Pelodiscus sinensis: one gene and its partner. The protein of the gene in region 1 interacts with the protein of each later gene in a pairwise test. Links are inferred from orthologs where the notes say so. Each region holds a gene or a part of one and is shown on either strand. Other genes may lie near its edges. The genes, in order: LHX4 and CHCHD2.

Evidence for each region.
Region 2: the proteins of LHX4 (region 1) and CHCHD2 interact in binary tests that used the Homo sapiens proteins (3 or more experiments, as listed by UniProt). The two-hybrid records come from large-scale screens. The link is inferred for Pelodiscus sinensis from reciprocal best matches to the Homo sapiens genes LHX4 and CHCHD2.

The regions. Positions count from the first base shown.
Region 1 is NC_134719.1:59,247,914-59,263,702, reverse strand, and holds the start of LHX4 (LIM/homeobox protein Lhx4), read left to right. Parts: upstream 1-7,178; 5' UTR 7,179-7,417; coding exon 7,418-7,493; intron 7,494-15,789. UniProt on the Homo sapiens protein: May play a critical role in the development of respiratory control mechanisms and in the normal growth and maturation of the lung. Binds preferentially to methylated DNA.
Region 2 is NC_134731.1:20,151,609-20,167,390, reverse strand, and holds CHCHD2 (coiled-coil-helix-coiled-coil-helix domain-containing protein 2), read right to left. Parts: upstream 7,301-15,782; 5' UTR 7,169-7,300; coding exon 7,119-7,168; intron 6,522-7,118; coding exon 6,269-6,521; intron 3,837-6,268; coding exon 3,677-3,836; intron 3,189-3,676; coding exon 3,178-3,188; 3' UTR 2,833-3,177; downstream 1-2,832. UniProt on the Homo sapiens protein: Transcription factor. Binds to the oxygen responsive element of COX4I2 and activates its transcription under hypoxia conditions (4% oxygen), as well as normoxia conditions (20% oxygen).

The DNA of each region.
Region 1 (15,789 bases):
GAGCTGTTCTCCAGACAGCAAGAAAGACGAAGAAGAATGAGCTGGCTTCCACCAGCCCTGGAATAATTAGGGACACGGGTTCCCAATGCGAACGGGCATCTTGGAGGGGAGGAAGACAGGTTTGAGCCTGCGTGCTGTGCTGTGCTCGGAGCCCAGCTTTTACATCTGCATTGAGGAATCTGCCTTCTAGTCCCCTCGCTGTCTGTTTTGTACTGAGAGCCCCGCGTCAGACGGCTGCACGAGGCCCGGAGACGCCGCTTTGTCCCCAAGAGGCGGCCGTTCTCTGAACCGCAAGTGGTTTGTGTGTCTGTCTGAGGGAGGGGGTCTTACTGCGACTGAGGGGCGGGCCAGGCTGGAGCATCATTCCCACCGTGCTGACGAAAGATGGCGGTTTGCTCCCCCCACCTGGCTTCTAAATCTCCCTGCACTTGGAAGACTGCTGCTTGGGTCCACCTAGATTAGCACAGAGATCCCATGGCCTTTCCGTGACTGCGGCTTAATTCTCTGAGAGATTTGCCTGTAGCGCTGACTGCCTGGAAGAGGTGGTGGTTTGACTCCTGTGTGCTGATTGGACGATGTGCCTGCCCGTCAGAAAGGCAAGCTCTCACGAGTAGTTATTATTCGTAGGCGGCTGTCCAACAGAGTTTGGCTAGTCTGCATTTGCATGTCCCTATTACTTGGCAGAATGCAGATGAGTGCCTCAATGACTCCTACAATCACAGTATCTAGACCCCAGTCGCGCATCGGGGGGGTGTACCCTTCTTCACCCAGGTCAGGGCACTGGGTCCAGGCAATAAAGTTCATCGTCCCAGCTCTAATGAGTTTCATACCCTTATGACAAGGAGAGGCTTGTGATAAATTCACCAATCACATCAACACCTGCCCCATATCTGCAGGGTGGGGAAGTATATTGTGTGTCGGGCAATTTAACTCGTTTGAAAGTCAGCAACAATTGGTGTTAAATAGCACCACCAGCCTTGAAATGCGGACCTGTTTTGTGTCCCTCGGTTCCTCTTTGCGTCATCAGATTTGAGTTGGGAGGCCCTGGCTGTGGTGCATGTCATGAGCTCACAAAGCTGAATCGACTCTCGGTGTTTCCTCGGGGCTTGACTTTCAGCAGAGCCAACCACGCACCGCTCTCACTAACTTAACTGGTGTTTGGGGCCTCCAGCACTTCTGAGTAACACTGTACTGAGCTCCCACAGTTATGTACAGCCAGAAGGAGGAGGTCTGATGATGTCATCATTCTGCCCAGGCCTCACTGGCTGAAGGTGTTGTCATTCAATATCTTTTAGGGGTGGAGTTCTTTGCAAAGCTTTGGAGGACTCCATCTTGATCCTGCAGTTAAATTAACCTCTTCTAACAATCAGAGCTGTTGTTATCATCTTCACCACCAGACTCCTACTGGAGTGGCCTGCACATGCAATGCAGCATTCTTATTTGCCTTGTTTAATGCACTTTATTTAAAAAAAAATTTTTTTGCAATAAGAGGTGTTATTTTTCTGTACATACTTTGCAAAACTTTTTATGAATTTTTAAAAAAATCGTATCTATTTAAATTTTTAACCACTGTTCAAAATGAAGAGTTTAAGCACTTTTATCTATTTAAATTGTCACAGTTGCAGGAAACTCTGGTGAACAGGGAGCAGACAATTATTTAACGACAAGTAGATGCTGAGTAAATAGCTTTAAATCAAACTTTAGTAAGTTCTCAAGCTGCATTTTTCTTACTTTGCCTGTCTATAAATTTGGGTGATTATTGACGGAAATATTTTTGTTGGTTTGTGCATGTACTACTCCTGTTGGATTTCTGCAACAGTTGCATTTGAAGCCATACGCCTGTTGCAGGAGTAGTGTGTGGTGAAATCAATGTTAATCCACATTTACCGATATAAATCTATTCCTTCTTAGCCTACTTATGTAACGCTAGAGTTAGCATTCCTTTAAACTGTGCTTCTGCTAACAGAGGATTAGGAAATATGAATGGATTCTCCTCTAGTTGACTGAATAGGAAGGGTCATTAAGGGTGTGTCTACACAGCACCCTAAACTCGAAATAAGATGCACTATGCAAATTGTGTATCTTATCTCGACTCTATTTCAAAATAATTTATTTTGAAATGTGGCACTTCTACACAGCGCCAAATTTCAAAATAAAGTGCTATTTCGAGCCATCCCTTAACCCTCATGTCACGGGGTATCCCGAAATAGGTATCTGAAACAGCCATCCAGTGTAGATGTACTCTTAGATCCTACATCATGCAAGGGTTTGTATTTCTACTAGCAGGGATTTGGCGATCAATTTAGAGAGGAGAAAGGGTCTTTGTGATTCAAGGCACTGGACTAGAGTTCAGGAGACCTGGGTTCTCTGGCCTCTGCCACAGACTGACTGTGCAAGCCTGGGAGAGTCACTGGATCGTTCTGTGCCTCAGTTTCCCCATCTGAAACATCAGGCTCATGACACTGATCTGCCTCACAGGGCCACGGAAGGAGATCAATGCAGAAAGCAGAAGTGTGTACCCATTAATCCTGTGTTCACTTTGAGGAAAATAAGGAACACATGCTGGGGAAAACCCATATACCTGTGAATACTCAACATTTATTAAACTTTAAGATCTCTTATGCTTGGCCGCCACTTGACTCCATACCCTTCCTCCTCTCCTGCCCTCTCCCTCCCTCAGCTACCACCTGTTTCATGTGTATTTTTCCCTGATGAGACAATTCCAGAGCCACTGAGCGAGTTCTTTTGCAGACTAGCTCTTTCCTCCTTCCATAGAAGGGGTTCTCCCAGACTCGGTTTGTCATCTCCCCCTTGCCCTCTTAGTAGTTCCTGCTGGTTTGTTTATGCATCTAATCCATCTCTCCTTAACTGCCTGCACACACAGGCTTTTCCTTCTCCTGCCCAGCCCTTCTCCTAGACTTTATCCAGCTGAACTCATCTGGAATAGTCTGATTTCGTACCAGTTTAGTGGATGCATGCTACGGAATTAACATAAAGGCCATCTCCCTGCATCTTTCAGAGCCATGTCCCATAGGAATCCCAAAACACACATGCACACACACACACATAGCTTTTGAGATGTTCCCCATCTGCAATCCCGGGATGTCACTAAGTAGGTGTGGATCTGCTGCATTGATTTCTGCAATTCACCAACATAATCTATCGCTGATAGTAACCTCCCACATAGCGGGTGCTAGCGCATAAGTATTAATAATATTGATAGAAATGATGTTGCATGTCTCTATTGTCTTCTACAATGAAGAAACTCTTTGGGGCATTTTCCTCCCACTATCTTTGGCATTTTGTTCTTCCTTGTTATATTGTCTATTATGTCACAGGAAAAGGTCAACATGTGGCGACCTCTTCTATGCCGATATTCCACTAGCTAACTCGCAAGTGGTTCTCAGACTTTTGCATTGATGACTCTTTTCACACCGCAAGCCTCTGAATGTGACACCCTTGACAAATTAAACACCTTTTAAATATTTAGCACTGTGATGGATGCTGGAGATGAAGTGGGGTTTGGGATGGAAGCTAATAGCTTGCAACCCGCCATGTAATAATCTCCCAGCCCTCTGAGGGGTCACTCACAACCTCCAGTTTGAGAACCCCACATATATAATGCCCTAGGTTCCTTGTGTAGAAATTCTCTGCATTTTCTCCCTACTCTTTTTAAATCAGGTGGACCAAATTCACCTTTGGTATTTAACTGCACTAAAGGTCAATGATTTTTCTTCAGGAATTAACTTCACCCCTTGTCACCTTCCTCTCTCCCTCCCCCTGAATTAAAAGGGAACTGGGGAAGTGTGGTGTGCTTACTCTCATAATGGGGACCAGTGTAACCACACACAGAAGCTCTCCAGCAATGAAACATCTCCAAACTCTCTTGTGCAACCACTGGAGTGATTTCTCTTGTTTCTTTTTAACATCCAGGGCTCCCTTTTCCTTCCTCCACTTCATTTAACTGCCATTGTCACCACACGCTATTTTTGTTGAATTGGTGGTTGCCACCTGACCCCTGGACTCATGGAAGTTGGATGTTGCATGTTGGGAGTCATCAGGATTGGGACCCCGTTGAGGGATCTGCCCACTAGAAATTAAGTGTCAGCTCTGCCACTTGCCCCGTTGCCTGGGGGAAGTTGCATAATTGCTCTGTGCCTCAGTTTCCCCACCTGCACATTGAGATGGTTCTTCTTTCCCTTTGTAAAACATCTGGTGACCCATAGATGAAAAATAAGACGTCCGGTGGCACCTTATAGATTAACAGATTTATTGGAGCGAAAGCTTATGCTTTCATGGTTTATGCAGATTCAGACTAACAGGGCTACCCCTCTGATTCTTGTCATAGATGAAAAGTGATACAGAGCTATTATTATAGTTAATGTCCTGATTAAAGAACCCCACGAGCAATGAACATGAAATAAATACCTACGATAAAAACACATATGCATCTTTTGTAACTTCCCACGTGAACTCCTGAACCTCCTGGATCACTGGGGCTGGCTTCCTACTTATATGTGAATTATCTGGCTCTTCCTCTTGGGACTTGTGTCCCGCACCTTGTTCCTGGGGTGGTTTCTGTCACTCTCTGCTCCCTGGTCCCCAGTACTTGGTTTAGGTAAACAAGGATATTAAGAGAGATGATGGGAAAATGGTCATGTTGGGGGGGGGGGGGAATAGTGAGGTAAATATTGATATTTCAATGGCTTTTTTTTTTGGTCAAGATTTGGAAATTGTCAGCCAGCTTTCAAGCTGGTCTAAACATGGGATCGATATTTTTGTGATTTTTTTTGTTAAACAATTCATTTAAAAAGACCTGCGTGTTCATCCAAATCTGCCCTCTTTATTTCTCCCGGCAAAATCTGGCCGGTTCTGACCCACTCCAGAGAGTAACTCCCCGTCTTTACATCCCAGCCTATTCCGTGTTTGCTCGCCCCGGGGCGAGCCGATGTCGAACGTACCGGCCAGGTGGGTCTTCAAAGTCTCCTGCCCGATGCTGGGTGCGCCGCGTCCTCCAAGACGCAGCTCTCGGCGCTTGTGATTTCGTGCCCTGCCCGCTCCGCGTGTCTCCTAACGCCTCCGGATTACGATCACTAACAGCCGTGGGGACTGGCTGGCGGATCCGACGCGGGCTCCTTCCAGGCGAGGCCCAGCCCCGGCACAAGCCGAGCGAGGACCCCGATGCCATCTGAGGATCTGTCCCTTGCGGTGGGAACGGCCAGGTGCCCGGGCACAGCGAAGGACGCTCGTTCCGGCGCTGCTGGGGCGGGTTCAAACCCCGGCGGGGGGGGTGGGTTGGTCGGTTTCGGGCGGGAGTTGTCCAATCCGCTGCTAACCCCCCCAAAAAAGGCGTCCGTTCCTCCCCGAGCAGGGCGGGCGGCTACTTTTCGTTTGCTGCGCCCCGCCAGCTGATCAGGCTGGGGAACGCCTGGTCCTGCCGGTCTGGGCGCCTGATCTTTGGTTTTATGGCAACAAGTCGCCACGAACCGAGCCCTGCTCTCGCCTCTCCCGCAAAGGACGTTTCTCGGCGTGGCGCTGCATGGCAGGAGCCGGGGGGGGGGATGGCCCAAGACGCAGCAGGGGCAGGCCAGGCAGCCGGGCATTAGTTCGGGACTTTTTTGTTATCCCTTCACCCCTACAACGCGCTGCCAAAGGCCCCCCCCCCCCCCCCCCGCCAACCCGCACTCAGCCTGCCATTAGGAGCAACGGGAGGGGAGCTAAAGCACACAGTGCCGTGTTTAAGGTGGAGCGTTGTATTGCTTAGGACCCCTTCCCGGGAGGGGGGGGGGGAGTCGAGCCAGCCCCCCCCAATGACTAGCGAAGCAAGAGGGGGACACAGCCCCCGCCGTGCCCGTAGCGAGGTCTGGTCTCCGCCGAAGCGAACAAGCAACGCGATTCCAAACGCAGCGTTGCGCGAGGGGAGGGGGATGTTTGGCTGGGTAATGATTGAAATTAACTAGATGAAATTGATCAGTCGTCCAGCCTCCATGCGTAGCCTGGGCTGGGGCCAGCCTGGGTCCTGAGGCTTTATGATACAGGATATTGTTTTATAGATTAACACTGGAGATATGTTTAAAAATGGCGTTCTAATGTATATGTGGAAGAAATAATTGGTTTACACTTTAAAGCTATTTTTAAAAGCCGTTTCTGCGCCAGTCTGGGAGCTCCCGGCCCTGAAAGCCCCAATACGGCCGTGATGACTAGCACCGTTTTTAAGGGGGGAAGAGTGACAACGAACAGCCAGGGGAGGGATCGCATCCCAGGCACGGACGCGGCTATTTCAACGCGGGTGAGGCTTGTGACAACGCAACTTGCGCTCATTTCAAACAAGAGCCCAATGCGCGGTGAGAAATAGCGACCAGAGAATTGTTCCGCGAGGCGGTGGGCTGCGAAGCGACACAGTAGCGACGTGGGGAAAGGGGGAAATAAAACCTCGGGAACTATTCGGATAAAGGGGAGCTCGATCAGCCGCTAGAAGGGAGACAAGAGCAGGCAGAGAAGAAAGGGAGCGAGAAGCTTTAGTGAGGGGAGCGCTGCAAAACGGGGACAGCCCGGTGGAAAGGAAGAGCTTGGTTTTCTTCCAGACTCCACGGGAGCAAATCCCAGCCGGAACGAGCGGCGGGCTGGTGGCGAGATGTCTAGCAGCGTTTCGTCAGGAAGGCAGCAGGTTCTGCAGGGTCCGGTGGCTCGGGGTAGCTGCATGGGGCTGAGCTCCGGGCGGGTAAGCCGCAGGGTGAAGGGAAGGGGGGTTGAAATGCCGCAGCAGGAATACAGAGACACGAGGGACAGTAAGGTGGGCTGCGATTGTCCCCGGGGGTATCCCCCGGAGTTAAGAGACGCTGGGACCAAAGAGGAGGGCTGCGCAAAGCCAGCAGGACAAGGCAGCTGTGAGCCACCTGCTGCCTCCGCTGCCTTTTATAGCCCTCTGAGGGCAGGGGAGGAGCTGAATGCCAGGTAGCCACGCCCACAAAGGCGCAGGCCGCGCCCACTCCGCCAGGCGGCCCCGCCCCCAAAATTCGTTACCTGCGCTCTGTCCTTAGGCTGGAGCTGTCTCCGCCCCAACTTCTGACATGATGTAAGGGGATTGGCTGGAGGGGGCGGGGCCTCCCTGCGGAAAGTGACGTCACGCTCACTCCCTGCAGTGTGAATGAATCAAACCTGCCTTCAGGGGACCGGCATTCCAGCGAAAAGAGCTGCTGCAGCATCACCCCCTTAAGCCAGGAGACGCTAACCCGGGATAGAAGCACCGAAAGGGATTTGCGCCAGACCAGGGCTACAGCAGGGCCGCCCCGGTTCCCCTGCACGTGCAGACGGATCCGCCCTGACTGTACTTTCAACTTCATGTTTTATTTTATTTTATTTTCCTAGCGAGATAAACGGGCCGTTTGTTTTTATTTTCCCCCCGTGTTTCAATAAAATGATGCAAAGCGCAGCGCTCACCACAGAAGGCTCAGCCAAGGGGCTTCCAGAGATTCTTGGCGTGCCAATGCAACGTAAGGCATTTTTTTTCCCCTCATCGATTTCATAATAAAGAAAACTGGCAATGAGAGGAGCCTCCGTGGTGCAGGGAGGGGGGTGAGCGGCACTGTGAGCTGGGGAGAGGCCCAAAAAGTGTGTGTGTCAGCAAGGTAAGACGGGGGGGATCTTCCTGGGGACAGATTCCTGCCCAGGGCTGGGAAAGCGGGTTGCCTCTGTTTTATAAAACTAGTCGGAGGGCGAGAAGCAGGAGCGGGAAGGAAGTGCCCGGGGGGCTCCGCAGAGTGGGGGCGCAGGCTGGGAAAGGGGAGCAGCCAGGCAGCTCGTGGGAAGTAAACAGTCTTCCTGGCGGCCAGCAAAATGCTGCGCCGGCCACCGGATCCACTTGGGAGAAGTTGGGAACCCGCCCGCAGACGGGAGTTCTCGGGCAGAGGGCGGAGAGCGGTGTCCCCATCTCCCCAGGTTGTTGCTAGAGATGGGGACCCCCCAGAGCAAGTCACCGCCGGGGGATTTCTTCGTGGATACAGGTGGGGGAGCTGCTTGCAGGGGGAAGGGGAGATCCCCGGCGAGTGTTTTGTCAAATAATTGGAACTGAAGCCGGTGTCAGCCGGGCTAAGCTGGGACTCCGCTCCGGGAGTGTAGACACAGGCTGTGTGCGGCGGGGGGGCCTGGAACACGCCGAGCACCCTAAATCGAGACTAGAGCTACACTAGATGCAGATGTGTGGCTATGCCTGTTCGTGTAGTGTATAGGGGTGAGCATGTATTAACCCGTGTGTATGTGTGTGTATGTACTTGCGCATATATATGTTGGTGTTTGGGTGTCTGTGTGTGTATAATATATATAATGTATGTGCACATAAATACTCACACACATATATATAGCATGTGTATATATGAGATCCATATATATATGAGGATCTATCTCGATTCCCGCTGATGTATGTATAGGGATATGCTAATATGTTTACATTCATATTTCATAACAATATGGCTATGTACTGTATATATGTTTTATCTGTGTGTGTGTACAAACACACACACACAACATATATACGGGGATATATCTATGCCTGCTGATGTATCTATGTATGTGCTAGGATGTTTATATTCATATTCCATAACAATATGGCTTTGTATTATATAAATATATGGGATGTGTGTGGGGGGGTATCTGTATCTATACCCGCTGTATATCTCTAGAGTCTATGCTGGGATGTATATTGTGTGTGTGTGTGTGTGTGTGTGTGTGTGTGTATACACACACCATCTATACGGGGCTCTGTGTCTGTGCTCGCTGTGTATCTCTAGGGTCTGTACTAGGATCTATGTTGTGTATCTGTGTATATGTGTGTGTGTACACACACACATACACCGTCTATTCGCGGCTCTGTATCTGTGCCAGCTGTGTATCTCGAGTATAGGGCCTGTACTGGGATGTATGTTGTGTATGTGTGTACACACACACATACACACCCACGCACACCATCTATACGGCTCTGTGTGTGCCCGCTGTGTATCTCTGGGGCCTGTGCAGGGATGTATGTTGTGTATGTGTGTACACACACACACACGCGCGCGCGCACACACCTATCCGGGGCTCTGTTTGTGTGCCCGCTGTGTATCTCTGGGCCTGGGCAGGGATGTATGTTGTGTATGTGTACACACACACACACACACACACACACACACACACACACACACACACACGGGTGCCCGCTGTGTATCTCTGGGCCTGGGCAGGGGTATTTACATTCACACTCCGCAGCGATCGCCCTTCGCTCGCCGCCGGCCCGCGCCGCTTGCTCTGTTCCCAAGGCTGAGCGCGCGGATCGGGCCCCTCCTGCCGCTTCGGCTGCGCTGGCCCCGGGCTGGCTCGGCTCCGCGCGCGGCGTGTCCCGCTCCCGCAGCCCGGCTTGGGGTTAGGCGGAGAGCGGCTCGGGGGCATTTCTGCCCGGCCCCCGTGGCCGAGCGGGCTTTGCCGGGAGCCGCTGCCCAGCGCTGGGACCATCCGCCGGGCGCCGGGGCAGAGTTCAGGAGTTTCCCGCAGATGCTGCCGCAGGTCTGTGGCCTGGCGCTGGCTGCGCGGCTCGTGCGCGCTGCTGGGCGCAGAATGCGCGGGGAGATCCTTTTGCTTACTCCCTCCAGGCCCGGGCTGCGGGGTAGGGTCCCGCTGGGGCGGGGGAGGCTTTCCAGCTCCCCGGCCATCCGGATCCCCAGCGTGGCTCCTCTGGGGCGGGGTCTGTCTGGGACAGGGAAGGAGCCGGCTGGCGTGCGGGGCGCAGTGACGGGAAAAGTGAGGGGGCTTGTCTCGGAAAGCTTCGCGGAGCCCGCCCCAGCCGAAGGCCAACTTCCTAGCGCGCACCCAGGGGAGGCAGGGAATCTCCCGTCCGGGTCTGGGCCAGCGGAATCCGAGCAGGCTGGACTGCTGGACCGGCCCTTTGCTTCGGGGTGGAACACGCTGGCCCCGCTTGCCAACTGGGGCTCGCTTGAAAGGCTGCACAGAGCCCCCTGCCCCCAGCTCCTTTTATCCCCCCTTCGCGGGCACACTCCCTTCCCCGCACTGGTTTTTAAATCCGCCTCCAGCCCAGTCTCCCGAATTGCGAGAGAGAGGGAACGACCGGGACCCGGCCATGTGCCCAATGGATCGCTCGGGTCAAGGCGCCTGCGTTCACAACGAGGAGTCTGCTGCGTTTGGTCAGACAGGGCCAGGCTGCGCGTCAAATCTCCCCCAAATCCCGCTGTAGCTTCGGCCCAGTTACTGACGATCGAGCCCGCTTTTTGGTTACGTCTGGATACAATCTCCCCCGGAGACACGGCTAGATGTACGGAAATTGCACGCAATTCTTCGCGTGTTTATGGAGAGATTTGTACCCACAGGTAATAGAAGACCTGTCCCGAGGGATGCCATCCCCTATCCAGGTTATGCCCATTCTCTTTCCTCGTAGCCCCCTCTCCATGCGGACCAATGGACGCGCGTTTACAAATCTCGATCTGTTTGTTTGTTTTTCCTGCGCATCTCTGGCCGTGAACTTGCCCGTGCGCGTAGGGGCCGATCGTTCTGGCCGAGTCGCTGAACTTGCCCGCGCTCCCAGCCTCTTCCCTCGGATCAGTTCGTTCCGGTGGAGTCATTTCCCGGCTCTGGGCATTGCAGACTGGGGGACTGCAGGACTCGGGCATTTAATCCCGAACCTGCTGACTTGTGGCTTTGGCTGGATCTGGCTACTTTACCAGCAGGGATCCCCTCCAGCTAGCCCGCTCCAGGGGAGGAGAAACGCTCCATCCCTTGGGTTTTCGGAGCCTCGGAATTTCCCGCTTTGCAACAGCAGCGCCCCATATCCTTTCTCCCCTCCAAATAAAGCCCTTTTGGCTTTGGCAGGCTAGCCAGAGAGGCCGAGGGAGCGCACCGGAGCGATCCGGGCCGCCGCGTTCCATCGCCGGCTCTTCCAGCGCCTTCGTTCCGCTTTGCCGCGGTGGGGCGGGCGGGTGTTTGCGTTTGGCTGGGTTACATAAGGGCCAAGGTCTCCCGGAAATCTTTGCTTCCCAGCGAACCCTGGCTGCCTCCGGACGCAGCCGGAGCAAGGCTGGACAATTTCGGCCCCGGCCCCCTTTCCTTTGCGTTTGCCGTAGATTGTTCACCCCCCACCTTTGCTGGGGTAGGGACCAGCCCCGGGGCTCTTTTTTTAATTGTTCTTGGCGGACAATAGTTTTTGCTGCCCGTGAGAAGCGGCGCCCGACGCCGATTTCCTCGGCCTGGGAGTTGCGCGCCCGGTTTTCTCTTTATTCCAGGCGGCAAAACCGGGGCTGCTCCGGGCAGTGGTCTCCGGGCAGAATTGCTTGAAAGGCCACGGAACAACCAGGCACTGCCCTCGAAGAGAGTGTGAGGAGAGTTTGGTCCCGGAGTCGCTCCCCGCAGGCGGTTCCCTTCGATCCCGATTCGAATTCGAGGGCCCAGCTGGCTAGGGGCGGGCCTCGCTTAACACCGGCGGCGCGAACAGCGGAGGCCTCCGTGCGGGCTCTGATTTCCCCGCTGTCCTGGGGATCCCGTGTGACATTTACGCCCTTCAGGTGCCCCATATGCCACCCACTCACTCAAGATCAGAGAAAGGGGCATTTCCCTGTTTCCCCGCAGGAGGAAACTCCCCCGACCCCGCCATCGCCCAGTGCACTTTCCTCCCTCCGGCTAGCGCAAAAGGATATTGCGCCCCAGAGGCAGGGAGAGCGGGTGGGTGGAAATTGGTTTTGGGGGCGAAGAAAATGGAGGCATCGAGATCTTTGCCAGCGGATTGCGATGCAATAGCGGCAGGAGACACCGCTCAATAAACCGGAGAATCTCGACCGGCCCACGCAGACGGACAAACAATTTCTACCCACCGAAAGAGCATTCGAATTGTCCCCGGGTGTCTCCTGGCGCACAGATCCGTGTAAACGTTTTTTACACCCGGATCCATGGAGAGAGAGGGGTGATTTGAAGTGGAGACGCGTGGGGAGATTTTGTAGCGATAGTCCCGTATTTGTTCGTCGATGCGTCGTTTATTGGGCAACATTAATCGATCGCTACAGAATGTGGCGTCTGCATACGCACCCACCGCCGCTGCGCCTGTGGTGTCTGGGTTTATGCGGAACCAATTCTAAGTCCAGAAGAAATCAACACCGATGAAACGCGTCCTTTTTTTCAAGGGGCGCTGTAGGAGGCGTGTGGGGTGGTAGCCCTATATTTGTGGGTCCACGTTGCAAATGCAAAACCGATTGGTTTGGTTTGTGAAGTCTCATGTGTTGTGTGTAAACGTGACCTGTCCTGGTCTGAACTTGATCCCGAGCCGGATCGGGTTTAGCTCATCCGAGGGCGAGTCCTCTGTCCTAACCGTCCCTTTGCATTTCGGAAACGTGCCCCGGAATTTTGGGGAGCAGCGATTTCCGCCTCCTTGCGCCCTGCCTCGCCTCTTGTTAATTTCGCGTTTCTTCCGCGCGTTCCCGCCGGATCAAACCTTTCCCCACTTCCTCGCCAGTCTTGTGTCCGGGCGGGGAGCAGCGTCCAAACCCCGGTTCCAAGCTGGAAGAAATAAACGAAACGGGAAGGATTTGGGGTGGGGGAAAATTGTCCAGATCCGGGAATCTCTCGCCTGTTTGGTGCGTCTCTTTCCGCACAGCCCGTGCGCCTAGAGGGGCATTTTGTCTGAATTAGCCGGGAAGGTGAAAGGAACAAACCGGCGCCGAAGCGCTTTTCTGGCGTTTTCGCCCTGTTAAATTCCCCTCCTTGGCCCGCCGATCCCCGACTCTTTCGGGCTGAGAAAAGAACCTTCGTCTTACGTCCACACCGCCCTCCAGGCCAGATTCCCCCCCGGCCGCTGGAGCGCAGGCATCCCCACCCCCGCCTAGCTGCGGGGATTTCTCTCCTCCTCCAGCGCTTTCTCGGCGCGGCTCAGGATCGCGCTCCGGCGTGGATCAAATTATTTGTTAGTGGAAGAGGGAACCTACCCGCGGCGCAAACCGGCCCCACAGACAAACGCTCCCAGACTTTGACCAGCTGCCTTGAGCCAGCGCTTTGCGCCTGTCCGCCCTGCCCGGGGCTCGATCCCGTGCGCCTCATTCCCCAGCTAACTTCCCCGGGAGTGTCGGGTCCGGCTGGGAAAGGACTCTGCTGCTTTTCTCCCGGCGCACAACTGTGTTCTTCGGGCACCCACGGAGCCCTGTTCGGTCGGGCACCCACCCGCTCTGCCGGGGGCTCGCCAGGGGCCAGGTGATCGCGCTGCGGCGCGCTAATGCTGGGGGCGCTTCGCGGTGCCGGGGGTTATTCTGGGGCAGGATCGGGCCCGGCCCGGTGCTGTGCGGCCCGCTCGAGGCCGCTCGGCTTTGCTGAGCTTCCCTTGACATGTGGCTGCATCCGCGGCGGGGCGAGCAAACGCCAGTCGGGAGGCCGAGCCGAGAAACTCCAACGCGCATCGGCCGGTTTGCCCCAAGGCTCCCCCTCGCTTGCTGCCTTCCCCGCCTTGTCGGGCAGCCACAGAGCTGGGGATTCACTTCCCAGCATCAGGCCGGGAGGGACCGGAGATTGAGAGGAGAGGGGTATTTTCCCGAGGCCGATTAGCGGATTTGACAGGATACCCTGCCTCCGCCTTGGACCCAGACCTGGGGCCCGGAGAAAGCTGCCTCTCCACATAGCCTCCCCTCCCCCGGTAAAAACCACTCCCCGCAGCGCTGAGGTCAGAAAGGGAAAGTGGGCGAGAGACTCCCGGGAAAGTCCTTGGCAGGGCTCTGCGCGCGGGCGGAACCGGCGGAACTCCCTGCTGCGGTTGGGAATCGGGACCCCAACCCGAGCACAGAGAAGCCGGACAAGTCCCACGTGTCTCCCCTGGCTAGATCCAGGTAGATGGGCTGTCCCGGGAACCCACGGCCTCGAGGTGGAACAGGGTGGGCTAAAAGCCGCGTCAGCCCTCGCTCTTGGCGTTGGACACTCCGGGGCCCTTTCCTTTGGTCTTACCGCCGCTGCCGGGGTTTGGTTTACACGTTTACCCCCCGCGAGGAGGAGTCTAATTTCCCCAGCGCCGTGGCTGGACAGGGCCAGGGGAGCAGGGCTCAGGAGAGGCGGGTCCCACGATCCCCGACTTTGCCACTCACTCGATGGCACGGAAAAGCCAGCGCTTCGGGCTCCGCATCGCGCGGCCCTCCCCTCCCCCGTTTTCTCACGGGTAGAACGGAGCGACCCCCTTGTTATTTCGAAATAAGAAGACAGCGCCTCCGCACGGCCAAGCTTGTTATTTCGAAATAACGGGCCGGTTATTTGGAAATAGCTCGGCTTGTGAAGGGGAATACGCTGATTTCCAATTTGCTATGTTGGGCGTTATGGGTTTGAAATAACGCGGTAGCTTAGCCAGGGAGGTGATCCAGGCTGGGGAGCGTGGGGGGGGGGGGGGAGCGGTGCGGGGATCCAGTGAATCTCTTTGCCCCTGCGGAGTCCCCCCTCCGTAGGGGGAGTAACCAGGCTCCTGCGCCACCAGCTGCGCTTTTCGCGGCGGTCGGTGGCCACATGAAACTGACGCGCGCTCTTTACAAAACAACGCGGCAGCGATGCGCCCAGTCTGCCCCCCTGCACCTTCCCCTGGCTCCTGGGTGCTCGCTCCAGTGGGACCCACGGCCGCTGGGGAGCATCGTGCTGTGGTCACACACGCAGCGGTGTCCATGCGTGGGGACCAGGCTGCGAGGGGACGGCTCGCCCCGGGCTGCCCCGAAAGGCAATTCGGGCGCTGGGCTCTTGGTCTGTGAAGCCGCAAACGAAACCAAGTAAAACCCCCTTTTCCTCCTGCTCGCTGTGAACTAGACCAACAGCTTCAAACTCGCTGCCGGCTTGATTGCCCGCAGCCTGTGGCACTGCGAGCCGGCCAAGACATTTTTAGGGTGGAATTATGAACTTCTCAGTAAATGGAGAAACTGACAACGTCGGAACAGTGTAGTCTCCAGGGGTGTCTACACTGCACGGCTATTTTGGGATACTGGGCGTATTCCGAAATAGCTACCCCCTCGTCTATACAAGCCACCAAAATATTTCAAAATATTTGTCGAAATAATGGTCACCCTATTTTGCCATCCGATTAAATCTCACTGCTATTTCAAAATAGCTTCTTTTGAAATTTGGCGCTGTCTACATTGCTCGAAATAGTGCATTCTTTCGAAATTTGGCACTTTATAGAGCTGTATAGAGCTTTATTCCGGAGGATGGCGCCAGTCTGGACGCTCTTTTCCGGCTTTTCCCCAAGCCGGAAAAAAAGCGGCGGCCATGTTTATTTAAATCCTGCGGGGGATATTTAAATCCCCCATGCATTTCCCTATTCCAAAGTTCTAAATTAGCATGGCTATTCCGAAGAAGGGGCCAGTGTAGACACAGCCTTAGTGTTTTAGCCTTGAGGACAGTATCTTTGTGGCCGGATCCTGGGAAGTGCCGGGTGTCTTGGCTCTCGGGAGGGGGGGGAGGGGGGGAGATGGGACGACTCAGCACCTGGGAATCTGGGGCATTTTTTGACTGAGCCAAACCCCATTAAAGTGACTTCAAGAAATTACTGAATTAACTGAATATTGTTGGGGGGAGGGGGGTATGAACATAGTGTAAAATACTTGAAGAAGGCAAATAAAGAGGAAAGAATATGTCTAGGCAGGAGACAGGGGTATAGCCAGGCGTAACGGGATGACACTAACAAGGAAAAATATAAGGTGAATGTTCTTTCTATTATTCTATTTACAAACTCACCTTCCGCAGCAAACCAGTGGACATTGGCCCAGCACCATGGGATCTCAATTAAAATAAAGACAAAACACAATT
Region 2 (15,782 bases), on another chromosome or scaffold:
ATCCCCGCATTCAGATCAATAAAGATGTTCAACAAAACAGGCCCTGGAACCGATCCTTGGGGCACTCTGCTAGAAACCAACTGCCAATCATAGCCGTTGATCACTACTCATTGGGCCCAACAATGTAGCCAGCTTTCTATCCACCTTACAGCCCATTTATCCAATCCATACTTCCACAATATTCTTGCCAGCAAATTTAAGGGAGACCGTGTCAAAGGCTTTGCTAAAGTCATCCCCGTGTCCACAGACGCAGTTACCTCATCCTAGAAGCTAATCAGATTGGTCAGGCACGACTTGCCCTTGGTGAATCCATGTTGACTATTCCTGATCCCTTTCCCCCCTTCCTAGTACTTCAGAATGGCTTCCTTGAGGATCCCCTCCAGGATTTTTCTAGGGACTGAGGTGAGGTGGACCAGTCTGTAGTTCCCTGGATTGTCATCCTTCCCTTGTCTAAAGAGGGGCCCTATATGTTTACCTCTTTCCAGTTGTCCATGACCTCCCGCACTTGCCACAAGTTTTCAAAAATAAAGGCCAATGACCAAAGTCAATATTTCCAGCTTTCTTTAGAGTAAGGTTTTTCAAACTTCCTGTCACCATGACCCCCTTCTGACAACAAAAGCTACAATACGACTCCAGGTGGGGGAAATCAAAGTCTGCCTGAGTCCCACTGCCCCTGGTGGAGGGGGGCTGTCAGCTTTCAGTCTAAGCTGCACAGCATCACAGGTGATTCATCAGCCCTACCCAGTCAGACAGCCCCATGCATGGAGGAGCCCTGAGCCTCTGACTGGGTGGGGCTAATCCCCTGTGAAGCTGTGCTGCCATGCAGCTTCGAGGGAACACAGGCTGTCACCAGAGCCCGGCCATCAAGGGCTGAAGCCCTCAGGCTTTGACCCTAGATCAGTGTTCCCTGTGAGCTGAGCATTTGGGTGGCCACCCAGCTGATTAGCAGAGCTCCCCCAGGTAGCATTGTTTCTACTGGTAGTACACATCAAATTTATTCTACACACAGATGGAAGCAATTTCAGGAAACACTGCCCCAGATGGTAGGCTCAGACAACCCCATTGAAACAGGCTCACAACCCACTTTGTGGTCCTGACCCACAGTTAGAACTGCTGCTTTAGAGGTTTCTAAGCCAGTAGTTGCAAAGGTCAGTAGTAATATCTAACAGTACAGGCTGTTACTAGCTGCACCAATACACACAGCAGCAGCTGAAGACAACTGAACTGCATAGCACCATACAGGACTGGCTTGCTGCCATAAGAATATTGTTGGCCTTATGATGAATGTTTCCTGGTAATTTTTTCCCCTAAAATGAAGCAAGTAATCCATCCCCATTAAGTCACATACTTATTAGTCCTGCTGCTCTTAGGAGCCAGGATTATGTACATTGATGAACTGCACATTCTAGAAAAAAATCAGTACACAGTCTCCTTCAGACATGAGCTGTTTTGCTGTATTGATCATCATTTAGCTCGTTAAATGCAATAGCCATGTATTTGTTGGCATTAGACAGTTCCAATTAACAAAAGCCTCTGGATTTCCTACAGGAGCTTCCCCTGCCTAACCACCTCTCCCTATTTTATAAAGCTTGAATTAGGGATGTAATAGTATGGTCAATTAACTGATAACCTACGTTTTTGCTTAATGCTATATACTACACGCATTTCCTCCCCTTCCCCACTAGTAATTTTTTTAAGCAGGCTGACCAGCAGCCCAGCTGAGTCCTCGCTCACCCTGGCTCTGGGACCTGCCCTGCTCAGTTCTGGCTCATGTCAGGTCTGGGAGCTCAGACACCCCTCCCCCACCTCCAACAGACAGGCCAGGTGACAGCCAACTAGTCCACAAAGGGAGCTGGTTTTTCAACTGGCTCCCCTTGCAGCTCAGCTCCTACCTGGCACCCCACATTGCAGCCTCTGAAATAGACTATTCAATTAATCGATATTTAACATCCCTAGCTTAAATGATTAAGATGAACTGGGTATGTGAAGAGCAATAACCTAATGAAGCAGGACAGTTAATCCCTATAGGGACAAGTCTGGCTCTATTCAGTGATGTTAATTGCTTCAGTTGTTCCCAACTTGAACAGATGAGCTGTGGGCCTACAGTGTTAGTTTTCCTAGTTTCCAGATACTTATAGGAGACCAAGCTATGTCAAAGGCTATGGGGGTAGCTGGAAAGAAGAAGCTAACATAGTACCTTTACCCAGGCTGCTGGGTAGATGCAGACCAACAGGAAGATGTAATTAAATCAGGGAGAGCAGTTAGCCACTGAATTTACTAAGGGTTATGGATTTTCCATCAATGGTAGTGTAGAAATCAGAGCTTTTTTTAAAAAAAGCTTATTTGAAACAGGACTCTTTGGGGACATTCATAGCCTGTTTTACCCAGCTGGTTAAGCTACAGGATTACAATGGTCCCTTCTGACCTTGGAAGGTTTTAACAGAGGGAAGAGAAGGGAGAAGAACAGATGGTCATCAATAGGGGAATATGTCGCATTTAAAAACCTGTCCATACTATAAGAATTTGAGAACCGATTTGATTTTTATAGAACTGAGGCTCCCCCCCACCCTCCCAAGACTGATGTTTGCAGCGAGCTACATACATGCCATTCCTTGATATCATTTGGACCAGATTTTCAGAGTGTTCAGAACAAACAGTGGGAAGCATCCTTGAAATATGGTCAGCATGAAAAGGGCATGTTGTGCAGAGTGAGCTATCCTGAAAACAGCCCTGGACTAACAGACATAGAAGGGGTGTTTCCCTACAGATCTATTTCTATATCTTATTCCCACAGGAAGGGATAACTCTTAATTCAGAGACTCAGACACTTCAAACATTGAGATAATTTTATTTAGTCTTAGTCTCACATTTAAACAGCAATGTAGCCAGCAGAACAACTAGTTTTGATTAGGCCCCTTGAAATAGTTTGCCCATCTTCAGAATCTTCTAGTTTAAAACTACACTGTTACAATCAATCCAGCATGTTTATCAATGTGTCAAAAAAATCTAAAGGGACCTTTAAGTTGTGTCAAGGTTTGAGCAATCAGTTATGAATTATAATATAAACTAACACGATCTTACAGATAGCTTTAGACCTTAGACGTTTATTACTGAAGCATCTTTCAATTTTAGAACTTCAAATGCTAATGTTCAACTTCTTCGTTCTGTAGAATTTGATTAGGCTAAACCTGTAAATTAAACACAGAATTAGCAAAATTATAAATTTCCATGCTGAACAAACGTTTAACCCCCAGGCAGTGAACAGTCTGTGCTCAGGTGATTCAGGAAGACCCAATTCCTCAGTGACACTAGGCATCCCTAGGGTTTGGTGCACTCCCCTCAATAAAAGCCAGAACAGCTGACGTGGCTGAGAAACACCCATTAATAGAAATGCACCTTACACAGTTTGAATTTCCACTTTTGAGTCCACTTGTAATTTCAGACTTGCACATTCCACAAAGGAGGTAATGCATTAGAAGTTTTGTGCACTTTCAGTTCCATTCCAAGTGACTACTGTGGGATCTGACACACAACTCAGCATGGACAATACCATGCTGGTTCTTCTCCACTTTTGATACTGGGAAGAGGCACTTTGAGATAGCTACTTAATCTTATTGATTAGGTAGCTAGTTATTAAATCTGTACCAGACCCCACACAACTAAGCCAGCTACTCACCATTAGCAAACTTGCACTGCTTCAACACCTCACTGAAGCCCTCACACAGCTTAAGGTCACTCTGGTTCTGTGCACACTCCAAAAATTGCTTCATTTCGTACTGGCAGGGGGTGTACTGGCTCTGCTGCTGCTGATATGCAGGCTGAGCTGCTTGAGGCTCCTGAAAAAGAAGCCACAGTAGGACAAATTTTCATCTTTGAAAAATGAACTTTGATTATTTCTAGCTATACAGAACCTGACCAGCAGAGGAGCTATTACAATATGTATATTTCTACTTATTTCTTCCCTTGTAAAGATAATAGGTACCCCCTTGGAAGTTCTGCATCTTTCAAGTAGTAAGGGTAATATGCTTCCCCCCAAAATTAATGGAAGTCAGCCCATTAACTCAATCAGATGTAAGATTACATCAAGTATTTTAGAACACAAGACCTGTCCCTTGAGGGATTCAAAACCCAATACAGTAACACAAGGACTAGAGTACCTACAAAAGCCTGGCCTCAAGTATTAGTGAACAGAAGTCAATTCACATTCAATAAAACATTAAGATAATTTACTGTTTCTCTCATATATTCTTGAGACTGTGGAAAATGAACTTGTTTTGGCTTGCCAAAGTAAAGTGCCTGCATTTTAAAGAAAAAGGTTACCAGAAGAGACATTAATGAAAACTTGATCTGTCAGTCTCCAATCTGTTTCAGTAATATAAACCATTAGGTATGGAAGGAGAGGATAACGTGTTAAATACAGCAAAGCAGGATGGATAAAAATAGGTGTTCAAATCCGTTTTTAATTTATTTAAGTTAGATTTTATTTATTTTTAAAACAAAATTATCTTAAAATAAGTTACTACATTCTCAGTTGTCACAACTATGCAACATCTACACATACTAGTCTCAAAAATGAATTAATGGCTCTAGTCTGTCCTTCCTTGCTTCTTGAAAGTTCTGGGCTTTCAATTTGTTAGGTTGCTGAGAACATGTGGAAAGAGAAACAAGCTGGATAGGATTATTTTTGTTCTGTGCTCACGTGGTAGCAAATCTGGGCCACGCATGGCAGAGTAAGTTAAGACATTGTCTACAGTAGGGATGTAAAATCCCACTTAATTAGTTAACCAGTTAAGAGAGGGATCCCACCCACTGACCACAGACAAAGGCTGCCCTTATCTGTTAAGGATTAACATTCTTAGTCTCAAAACAGAAACAATGTACAGTAAACTTCCGATAATCCGGCACCTTTGGGACCCAGGGGGTGCTGGATTATTGGATATGCCAGAGTACCAGAAAGGGGGCTATGAAGGGTCAGGGGGAGGTCGGCAGGGCACCGCACAGCACTCCAGCTGCTCTACCCCCGGCTTCCGCAAGTCCGCCACTGGTCAGTTTCAGCAGCAGTGGACTTGGGGAAGCTGGGGGCAGAGCAGCTGGGGTGCTGCCGGGTTGGTACCGCAGCACCGCCCCCTCACCTGAGCTTTGCCCCATGGCTTCCCCAAGTCCGCCGCAGCTAAAACTGACCAGCGTCAGACTTGGGGAAGCCAGGGCACAGCAGCTCCAATTGTCCAGCTGGCTAGAGCACTTCCGGGTTCCAGTTGGTGCCGGACTATCAGGAGTGCCGGACCACTGGATGCCAAACAACTGGATTTTACTGTATAGGAAAGGATGGAAGCAGCATAGGAAGGAACTGTGGAGTGGACTGGGAAGTAAAAGAGAACACAAACAGCACACACACAGCTTCCTAGAGTCCCCTCAACTTTTGCCACAGAGAGAGTGTCATGGCTCATGTGTGTAAAGGAGACTATCTGGGAATATTCTGAAGAAACTCAATCCCTGGTTAAAAAAGGAAAATGTGTCAAGTGTAAGGCTAGGTGCAAGAAACAAACTAGGGACACAAAATCCTGGTTAATCAAGTTAAATGGTTAACGGGACAGGACAAGCCTTCCATGGGTGGACAACTGCTCTGACTATGCCAGGCCCACTCCAGGCCAGGCCTGCTCCAGCCAGGGCCCCACAGCCCACCGGTAAGCCATAACTGGTAAGCATCACCCAGTAAGGTGATGAATCATAAGGAAAACTGCTTACTAGGAGAAAGCGTGGCTGTCTGAAGAACATTGTACTATTGTTTGAAGAACTATATGAAGTCATATCAGTGAGAAAACTGATTTAAGTCAACCCACCCTTGATTAAAGTTTTAGCCTTAGCTGACCATTTTAATCTAGTTTTGACCTCTTCCCTTAACATTTTATTACTCTGGCAGCTAATCAAATCAAACCATGAGGGCATTGGATTCAACAGACTATGTGTCACACTCTCCTTTCCAAGTTTCTTTTTTTTTGGGGGGGGGGGGGGGGGGGAGGAGGAGGAAGGGAGTGTCAAGAGCCAGTAACTTCTAAACACAGTACACCCTCCACTGCCTGACACTAGTCATTTAAAATACATTTCATAAAAGGCATGGTACCAGGCAAAATAAACATACCAGAAAATAACTGTGCATGTGTCCCCATATACCAGCTCCCTACATTAAGCACTCAGGCCTATAATTTCAGTCACAAGTTATCCAATTTCACTCATAGCTGAGACTTAAAATACAGTGTTAACCACATACCTGATAAGTAATATCAGGCCTTGCAGCTTCAGAGCTGCTTCCTCCACCAAATCCTCCTGTCATTGCATGACCTAGTGTGTGTCCTACAGCTGAGCCTACTGCTACCCCAGCAGCTGTTGTAGCCATCTGTGCCATCAGACCAGGTTGCCTTGGTGCAGCAGCAGCAGAAGTCATTGCAGATGCAGGGGCAGGTGCCGGTACTGGAGCACGAGCTGCAGGGGCTGGAGGTGCAGCTCTCATTTGTGGTGCACGACTGAATGGGGGGTTGGGGGGGGGAGGGAGAGAAGAGAGAAATAAATCAATGCAAAAAGAGGCAACCTTTGTAAGAGACTTTATACTTAAAATCCTTTTGTGATATCTGTAATGCTTATGCCGCAAGCCTTGCAATACGCTACGGCTGTTCTCTAAGCAGAATTGTCCAAACTTGAGGATTAGGCCCCTTTTTTAGGGCTTCATGGAGACACAAGACTCCGCTCCCCTGCCCATACTATGAATGAATAGAAAAAAAAGCCAGGGAGCCACGTGATCATTCAAGCGCGGCGCAACGTCACAGCAGAGCCGGGGGGCGGAGGGGGGGGGCGGCGCCGCAAACCAGCCCACGAGCGGCTCCCTCAGCCGGTTAAACATTCACCGCCCCGCCAAGGCCGCGATTACCGGCCGCCACGTGCCTCGGCGGGGGGAGGGGGGGCTTATGTAACTCGGGCCTCGGCGCCCCTCTGCTCGCCCGGCTCCCGCACGCGGGCCCGAGGGGCTGTGACCGCGCCAGGCCGCAGGGGAGCGGCTGCCCCGCCAGGCCTAGGGCCCCAGCGCGACCCGCCCCCGCCCCCCCTCAGCTCCCGGGCCCGCCCACCTGGCCGGCGGCGCCATGCGGGACGTGCGGCTCCTGCTGCCCCTCGGCATGCTGGCGGCGCTGGGCGAGCTCGCGAACGGCGGGGACGGCGCCTGGCTTCTCCGCTGCACAGCCGGGGCCTGGCCGAGCGCTTTCCGCTTCCGCCCTCTTGAAGGTCACCGGGCCGGTACGTAATAGTCGCGCCGTGATTACGTCACGCGCGCGCCCGGCTGCTGGGCGGGGCCTCAGCGCAGCGCGCTCCCTCCTGCGAAGGCTGCTCCAGGGTGCGTGTCCTCGCGCCTGTGGCTGGGAGATTCTCCCGTGAGCCCCTGCACAAAGGCATGTGTGTGTGGAATAAATGTTGTGATGTGCAGTGAGGCATGTGCACCCCCAGTAAAACGTATGACGGCTGTGTCTAGACTGGCCACTTTTTCCGGAAAATCAGCCGCTTTAATGGAAAAACTTGCCCGCTGTCTACGCTGGCCCCTTGAATTTCCGCAAAAGCACTGACGATCTCATGTAAGAGTGTCACTGCTTTTGCGGAAAGACTGTGCTGCTCCCGTTCGGGCAAAAGTCTTTTCCCGAGAAACTTTTGCGCAAAAGGGCCAGCGTAGACAGCTCCAATTTGTTTTCTGCAAAAAAGCCCCGATCACGAAAATGGCGATCGGGGCTTTTTTGCGAAAAAGTGCATCTAGATTGGCCACAGATGCTTTTCCGCAAAAAGTGCTTTTGCGGAAAAGCGTCCGTGCCAATCTAGATGCTCTGTTCCAAAAATGCTTTTAATGGAAAATGTTTCCGTTAAAAGAATTTCCGGAAACTCATGCTAATCTAGACGTACCCCTGGTGCTAGCTGTGGGCAGTCTGCTGGGTGGCATTTGAATCTCTCCTGAGTGGCCACTCCAACAATCAGTTTACAGGAAACACTGAAGGGACCCCAGATGGTCAGAAGAAAGATGGTTTTAGCACAGCCCCTCGTCCTGGGTTAAGGTCCTATCTAGAGGCTAGTGAATGCACATCACGTGGCCCTGGTATTGGAAAGTCAAGCAGGACTATTCAATTAGTCTGAGAAACAGCCACTGAAAGCGAGCAGTAGGGAGTCACTGTCCATGTGGAGTTGATTTTAACAGTTAGTTATAAACAATCAGTTTTCATTTGGCAGAAGAATAACAAATTCAGTGGTTCTCTTTGTATAGCATCTGGTATAAAGGGGCTTAATTGTGATAGAGATCTCTAAGTGCTACCATAAATGAATTGTTAATTAATAATAGTAAAAGCACTTCACTTTAATGTTCTCACCAGTGCCACTGTTCAAAAATCAAGCCAAGAGAATTAAAAATAACAAATATTCAGAGGAAAGTAACTAGAGCCAATGCATACATTTAGTAGGAAAATCTTAAAACCATCTACAATCAAATTACAGTCTTGTGAATGTTGCTATATACAGCACATGTTTAAATATATCTGTTAATCAAGATCGTCTCATCTGAAGAAGTGGGTTCTGCCCACAAAAGCTCATTAGGTATTTGATTAGTCCAGCCGTGGCCAACCCAAGGCTTGCGAGCCACATTCGGCTCTCCCCCCGCCCCCCCAGGTAAGGTTGCCAGATGGCTTCAACAAAAATACCGGACTCACTTGACATTACATCATAATCTACATTACATCTTATTTAGAAAATACCAGACATTTATATTTTCTCAATTTGTTTCCCAAACAGAAAACTCAAATACTGGACTGTCCAGTTCAAAACTGGACACCTGGCAACCTTACCCCCAGGTGCAGCTCACAAAGCCTCCCTGTGGCTTGTAAGCGGCCCCTGCGCCCCCAAAAATGGCCCTCTCCTCCCAGGACAGGGGAGCCTTGCAGCACGGCCATGAAAGCTGCAGAATTAAAGATGGTGGCAGGAGCTTTTTTTTTTTTTTTTTTTTTTTTGCTTGACCAAACATGACCAGGGCTCCTTTAAAAGGGGCAATCCTTTTTGGTTTTGCTCAAGAGCTTTGCCCTGGCTCTTCACGCTGGATCCACTGCTATCTTGAATCTTTGCCCAGAATGGGCTGGCCACCCCTTGACTAGTCAGTAGTCAACTACCTGATAAGCCTAGGCTTATGAGAAGCAGCAAGGGGGGGGAAGGGGAACAGGAGCCAGTTTAAAAGCTGGCTCCCCTCAGCACCATTTTGGCCATGTGTGGGGGGGGGGGGGGGAAGTTGGGGAGAAAGACAAGAGTCACGGCAGTCCCAGAGCTGGCGCAAGCCAGGACGGCTCAGTCCTAGCACGCGCTGGCTCCAGGCTCTGCTGCCGCTCTACATTTTAAATGTAGTAAGCCCAGCAGCTCTTACTACATTTAAAATGCAGAGCTGCAGCTGTCCTGGAGTTCGGGCTGTTCAGTCCCGGCTTGTGCCAGGTCCAGGAGCTACACCCACTGTGACTCTGCAGTGTAAATGAAGTATGAGCCAGGCTGCCTGTGCACCCAGCTCCTTCTAAATTTAAACTGCAGAGCCAAAGCGGGGGTGGCTCCTGGACCTGGCGGGAGCTGGGACAAAGAGCCTACCCTTATCAACTAATTGTGTAGAGACAATACAATTTGTATCAACTATACGATTAGCCAAATATCTATTTCTGAACATCCTTACTATGCATATATTTTTGTTAAGGTGCTACACGGCTATTTGTTGTTTTTAAAGTTACAGACTAAAACAGCTACCCCTCTGAGACTTAAGCCAAGTTTAGTTAATGTGAAATGTATTAGTAGTAGACAAATACTACTTTCCAAAACTTATTTGGGTATAGGTTCACACTCAGAGCACCCTGTAATACAAAACCTGTTCACAGTTGTTTAGCTAAAGTCCAAAATGTTTTTCTCTTTTAAATGGTGATTCGCATAGCATGTGTGAGAAATTATACTGTTTGTTTAAATGTATTGCTATGTTTAAATTTTCATCCTTATTAATTCATTATTTGATCTTGTTCTCTAGAACATGCATCAATTCAATCCAACTTTATATGACTGTGATAATAAACAATCAGAATGAAAGTGGCAGACATCTTACCCCTCCATCTTTATTTCATATCTCACTGCCCTACTTAACTTTCTTCCATCTTTACAACCAGTTCCCCAAAAAGCATACTTGTGTCATTTTCACATCCAAAAAGAGACCTACTATCAATTAGATGTCTAGAACATAAAAAAATCTCAAGTATTGATGAATAAAACTAGGACAATGATTCCACACACAGTTCATTGTAGAATGGGAATCTTATACAAATCTTAAGTAGAGAACATGAACTTACAGGCCCCAACTCCCCAAAACACCCATGATCAAAAAAAATCAAACTCGTTTGACTGACACTCGTGTGACAATAAAAGCCAATTTTTAAAAAAAATAAGCCAATTAAAATGTTTTTATTTATACATATGCACACAGCTATCAAATACAAGAAAGACTTTATGTACAATTTTATCAATATATATAACCAATCATTTAAAAACACCACCAATCTTAAAAGCACAATTAAAAGGGTATACTTAAAATAACAGACATATAACTTACTGTTGGTACAACACTTAAGATCAATAGAACTTGAGAACATACATTGTTTCAATTTACATTGTGTATTTGACACCTCTTCATATGTATTTTAGCCTGTATTTTTGGTCCTAGATCTTGGGAACATTTGTGCTCAGTTTTACATGCCTGTGTAAATTGCTCAGTGAGACTACTCATGTAGTTCTTTGGAGCAAATAATCATATCTACAATACCTGTTCCAGTTGTGAAGTAGCATTGCATTGGGCAACCTAGGATAGCGAATGGGCTGCACGAGTGTTCCACCTTCATCTAAGCGTTTAATTACAAGACTATTGTAATTAGACAGTCTCCCAGGCTAGGGTAGTTTTGCTAACTGTGCTTCTGTACCTAGAATTTGCAGGGTGTGAATTCAACAGGACTACTAAAGTATGTGTCTATGGACCTTACAAAAGGATCTCCTAGCCAGGAACACTGGCATCAATAAAGCTTCACATCCATATGAACAATCTGACTGTAGAATTGGTGTCTTCAAATGTAGTCAGACAGAAACCCTGGCTTCAGTCTTGTCTCTAAAGTGCTTAGAATACTGTTGGCATTATAATAAAATAACACAAAATGAGGCCAAAAAAGTACCAACAACCTTGGTCTTATTGAAAGAAGTGTCACTTATTTTTCCCCACAAGACATGGTATTTAAACAGTGCAACAGGTGAGGCACAGCATTCCAAACAATGCTCCCTTTTCCTAAGAGGAACAGCATTTAGACTGTGGGGAGGTGTTTAAAATCCGGTCCTCTATTCAGCCTGCAAGAAATGGACACCAAACATTGTCTCTTAGTTACATGATCAGACACTGTCTGAGATTTTACTATTTCATTTACAATCAATACAAAACCAAGAATATATAGAGTAGGGATGTGAATGTGCACTCATGTACACAGTTAACCAATGAAACTGAGCTCACTGGTTAACCCTCAGGGTTACACACATCCCCTCCCCATCTCCGCTGCCTCTGTATTAGGGCGGGAGCCGGTACATGCTCTCCTTTATCTCAATAGGCTGTAATATTGTCATAACCAAGATGATCTGGGGCAGAATAGTTTTGTTAACTGCACTTGTATATCTAGAATTTGCAAAGTAAGCCGAATGAATTGTAGCAGCACTTTGACTGGATGCAGAAGGAGTGCATGTCTTGGACGATGCTGTGTGCAATTAGCACGCATCCCACTCAATGACAGTTTTAGGAGGGGAGGGGCAGCAGCAGCTGTGCACTCTGGAGACAGCTTGCTTTTCATCCCAGTCCCTGGCTATCAAGGACTCTCACACCTGGCCCCCGTACCAGCCCAAAATTCCAGCCTTGATCATGCTTCATGTGCATCACTTTAGCAATACCCATAAGAAAATATGTGGATGAAAACCAGCAAAATCTGGCAACCTGTTCATGAGTAATAGTAAACAAATGGTCTTGTGGGCCACAGGTTGGACCCTGATAAGCCACTGGTTGCCCACTATTGGGCCGTCATTGGGCCTGGTCTCTAAGCAACTCTCTCAAGGTCTAGACGCTGAAAAGGAACATTAGGGTCCTTGGGTTGCTTTAGCTGCGGGGGGAGGGGCTGCCCTTGGTTTGGGGCCCCCCCCGCAAGACAGGAAGGGGGTGTGCGGGGCACGCGAGAGAAGCTCGTGTCGCGCTGTCTGCAAAGGGATTTCAGGGGTGGGGGCCCCCCAAGAGTCCCTGGGACCTCCCGGGCCCCGAGCGTAACAACTCGCCCCGGCGCTTCGCCGCCTCCCGGCCTGGCTGGAGCGGGGGCCGCGCTGCTCCCGGCGGCGCCGCTTGGCCTGGCTGTTGCGCAGCTTCTGGGCGATCTTCCGCTCGTGGCCGGCGGGGAGGTAGCGGTTGGTGCGGAGCTCCCTCTCCCGGCGGCTGCGGCCCTTCCCGCCCGAGCCCGGGCCCCGCGGCCCGCTCCACTCCCGCACGTTGTACCACTCGTACGGCTCCGCCTCCTCCTCGGGCCACACGGGCGCTGCCGCCTTCGGCCCGCGTCTGCGCCTGCGCCGGCCGCCTGGCTCTGCCATGCCTGCGGAGCCCGCCGCGACCTGAGCCTGCCCCGCCCACCGGGGGGGGGGGGAAGTCAGCCGGCTGCGCTATCCTATTGGCTCCGCGCCTCTAGCTCACTACAAACCCCACCCCCTCCTGTGTCGTCATAGACAATGTCGCTCCCCCTTCTCGGAAGGTTACCGTCCTCTGGCCTTGCAGGGTTGCTATGGAAACAGAGGGCGTAGGCCAAAGAATCCCCTTTTGAATTCACAGGCCTAGCTGCAAATAGGAGCATGCCTGCCCCTTGTCACTGTCTATATGCAAGGGGATTGGTCCTGCCCCCCACGTCTGTGCGCAGGGTGGAGACATTCATACCTAAAGGGGTGTCACCTGTCCACAAATCTATATCTGCAAGGGGTGGTCCCCTGCACCCCAGTTCTGTATGCAAAGGGAGCGCTCATGTTGTCTATCTAGGGGAGAGTATTGCCCCCTAAGTCTATACACAAAGGGGACCCGTGTTATCTATCTCTCCTGTATGCAAAGCAGTGTTCCCTCTGAGATTTTCCATCCATGAGCCAAGTGAATGTTGAGGTCACGTGCACTGGTTTGGATGTGTGCCACTGTGGCACCCAAGTTATTAACAAATAGCTTATACATATTTTTAAAATAGTGATAGAGATGCAGCCGTGTTAGTCTGGTCTAGCTAAAACAAAAGACAGAACTATGTAGCACTTTAAAGACTAACAAGATGGTTTATTAGGTGATGAGCTTTCTTGGGCCAGACCCACTTCCTTAGGTCAAATAGTGGAAGAAAATTGGCACGACCATATATACCAAAGTGATACAATCAAAAAAAGTGAACACATATAACTGACAGATCAAATTTTAGACTCACCCCCACTCTGTTCTAAAATTTGATTTTTCAATTTTATGTGTCCTTTTTTTTTATTGTATCACTTTGTTATATATGGTCGTGCCAATTTTCTTCCACAAATTGATCTGAGGAAGTGGGTCTGGCCCACGAAAGCTCATCACCTAATAAACCATCCTGTTAGTCTTTAAAGTGCTGCATAGTCCTGTCTTTTGTTTCAGCAAGACCAGACTAACACGGCTACATCTCTATTACTATTCAAAATGGGAATAGTTACTCGCCAAATTAGTTAATTCTCTTGCAAAAAGCTATACTGAAGTTCAATACATCATTAGTTCAATACATCATTAGTTTACACAGTTCTGTCTTATATTTTTAAAATGTTATGGAAGAAAGAATATTAAAACAAGGGATAATTAACAAGGTGCATGACTTTAAATGTTTATTTAATATGAAATCAAATCCAAACAAAATAAATACTGCAAAAACTGTGTGTCTGTAACCCATGTCTGGGCCCTTTTAAATCGCTGGCCCTCGGCAATTGAGCGCCTCTGCCTCACTGTACTTGTTGGTGGGCCTGGAGGTGGTGGTGAGATACAGAACAATACCAGCCAGACACACTCAGGTCAGCCTCAGGGGGCGCAGTGGGGAGCCGGCCTTGTTCATGCAGCTTGGCCGCAGGCAGAAAATTGCAGGTGTTGCAGGGACTCGGGCCCAGGGTGACCCATGGTCCTTGCATCCCTCGGGCCTTGGTTGCTGCCACTGGGGACCCCTAAATCCTGGCTGCGGGCATGGAATACTTCTAGCAAGTGAGACATTCCTGCTGCTCCCCGGGAGACTCTCCTAGTGCAGAGAACCCAGCTTGGTCTCCCTTGCTAGATAGCACCTCCCCTCCCCTGTGGGGAGAAGGTGAGACCTGCCCTCCCCCAGATGCGCTGCTTCATTGGCAGCCTGTGTGTAGGGTAGAGGCTACCCCAAGCAGCTCCCCATGGGGTTGGCTGTGAGTCCAGATAAGTAATCAATTCAGATTTTGTACCTAATTTCCAGCTCTCTCCTCTAACTTGGGCCTATAGTGATTCCCAATAGCACATCCTCCATAAATCAGACATCATTCAAAAGTTGGCAAGCAAATATATATTGCATTCCACCTGGAATAACAATTCAGGACCCAATCCTGTATCTGTTGAGTCTCTAATTACTCTCAATTGATTTAATGAGAGCTGAGGATGCAGAGCACCTCTTAGGTTCTTATGTGGTTGAATTGTCACTAACTATACATAAAAATAGTCTTGAATTGAGACTTTGTATTATTTGGGGACTGAACTACAAAAATGTGACTGTTGCCAGTCAAGAGGAAGCATATTTCTGTTCCCCCACTTTTCACCTTTCTCTCTTCATTGCAATCAGACATTTTTTTCTCCACGCTAGTAGAAATTAGAACCTAGATAGCAACAGACATTTATTTCAATTTAAGCCCTTGGTAGGGAGCCAGGACATCCTTTTTAAAATTTTATTTTTATGAGTCTTGAGCACAACATCTATTCTCCTTGCTGCAATAATTTCATAGTGAGTTTCTATGTTGTGATGGATAGTAGTAGTACTTGCAAGCACGCGATGACTAAAGGGTTAAACTCACCCTAGGTAAGGGTGTTGGCAGGGAGCCAGAAGACTCAATGGGATACAGTGCTGAAATTTAAATATATACCTGCTGCTGTTTCTCTTTCTGTGAGTTTTTTAAGTTAGGAGCTGGAGGAAGCAAGATGAAGTAATCAGACAGAATTACTGTGCCTACAAGGAATATTGGGCATGGGAATAGACTGGGCCTTGAAAGTACAGATCAGTACAGCTCATGAGTAGATAGAGAAATTTATGTTTAGTTGAAATTAGGGTATTTTTCTTTGTTTTGTTGTTTGGTTAAACTTCCCTGTGTGAAATCCAAGTGCCTTCCTCTTCCCCCCATTCGCTATGCCAGAGATGCCATATTTTCTTTGTGTTTTAATCTGCTTTTTTCTCAGTTGCTCTGAAATACCTAGCAACTAAATATTTTTGTTTTGTTATTAAAATCACCTTCTTTTAAAGTGATGATTTGAGTCTTGTGTCCTGAAAAGTAACAAGGGGTCTCTGTGTGTGCGCCTACCTAAAACTGAAAGGTCAGCTTTCAGAGACTGCAGTTTGTTTTCTGTGGCTTTTTCTTTTTTCAAGCTCTCTTGTGGTAAAAGAGCTTAAGGTATCCCTTGGGAAAAAGTTCAAGTGTTTTTT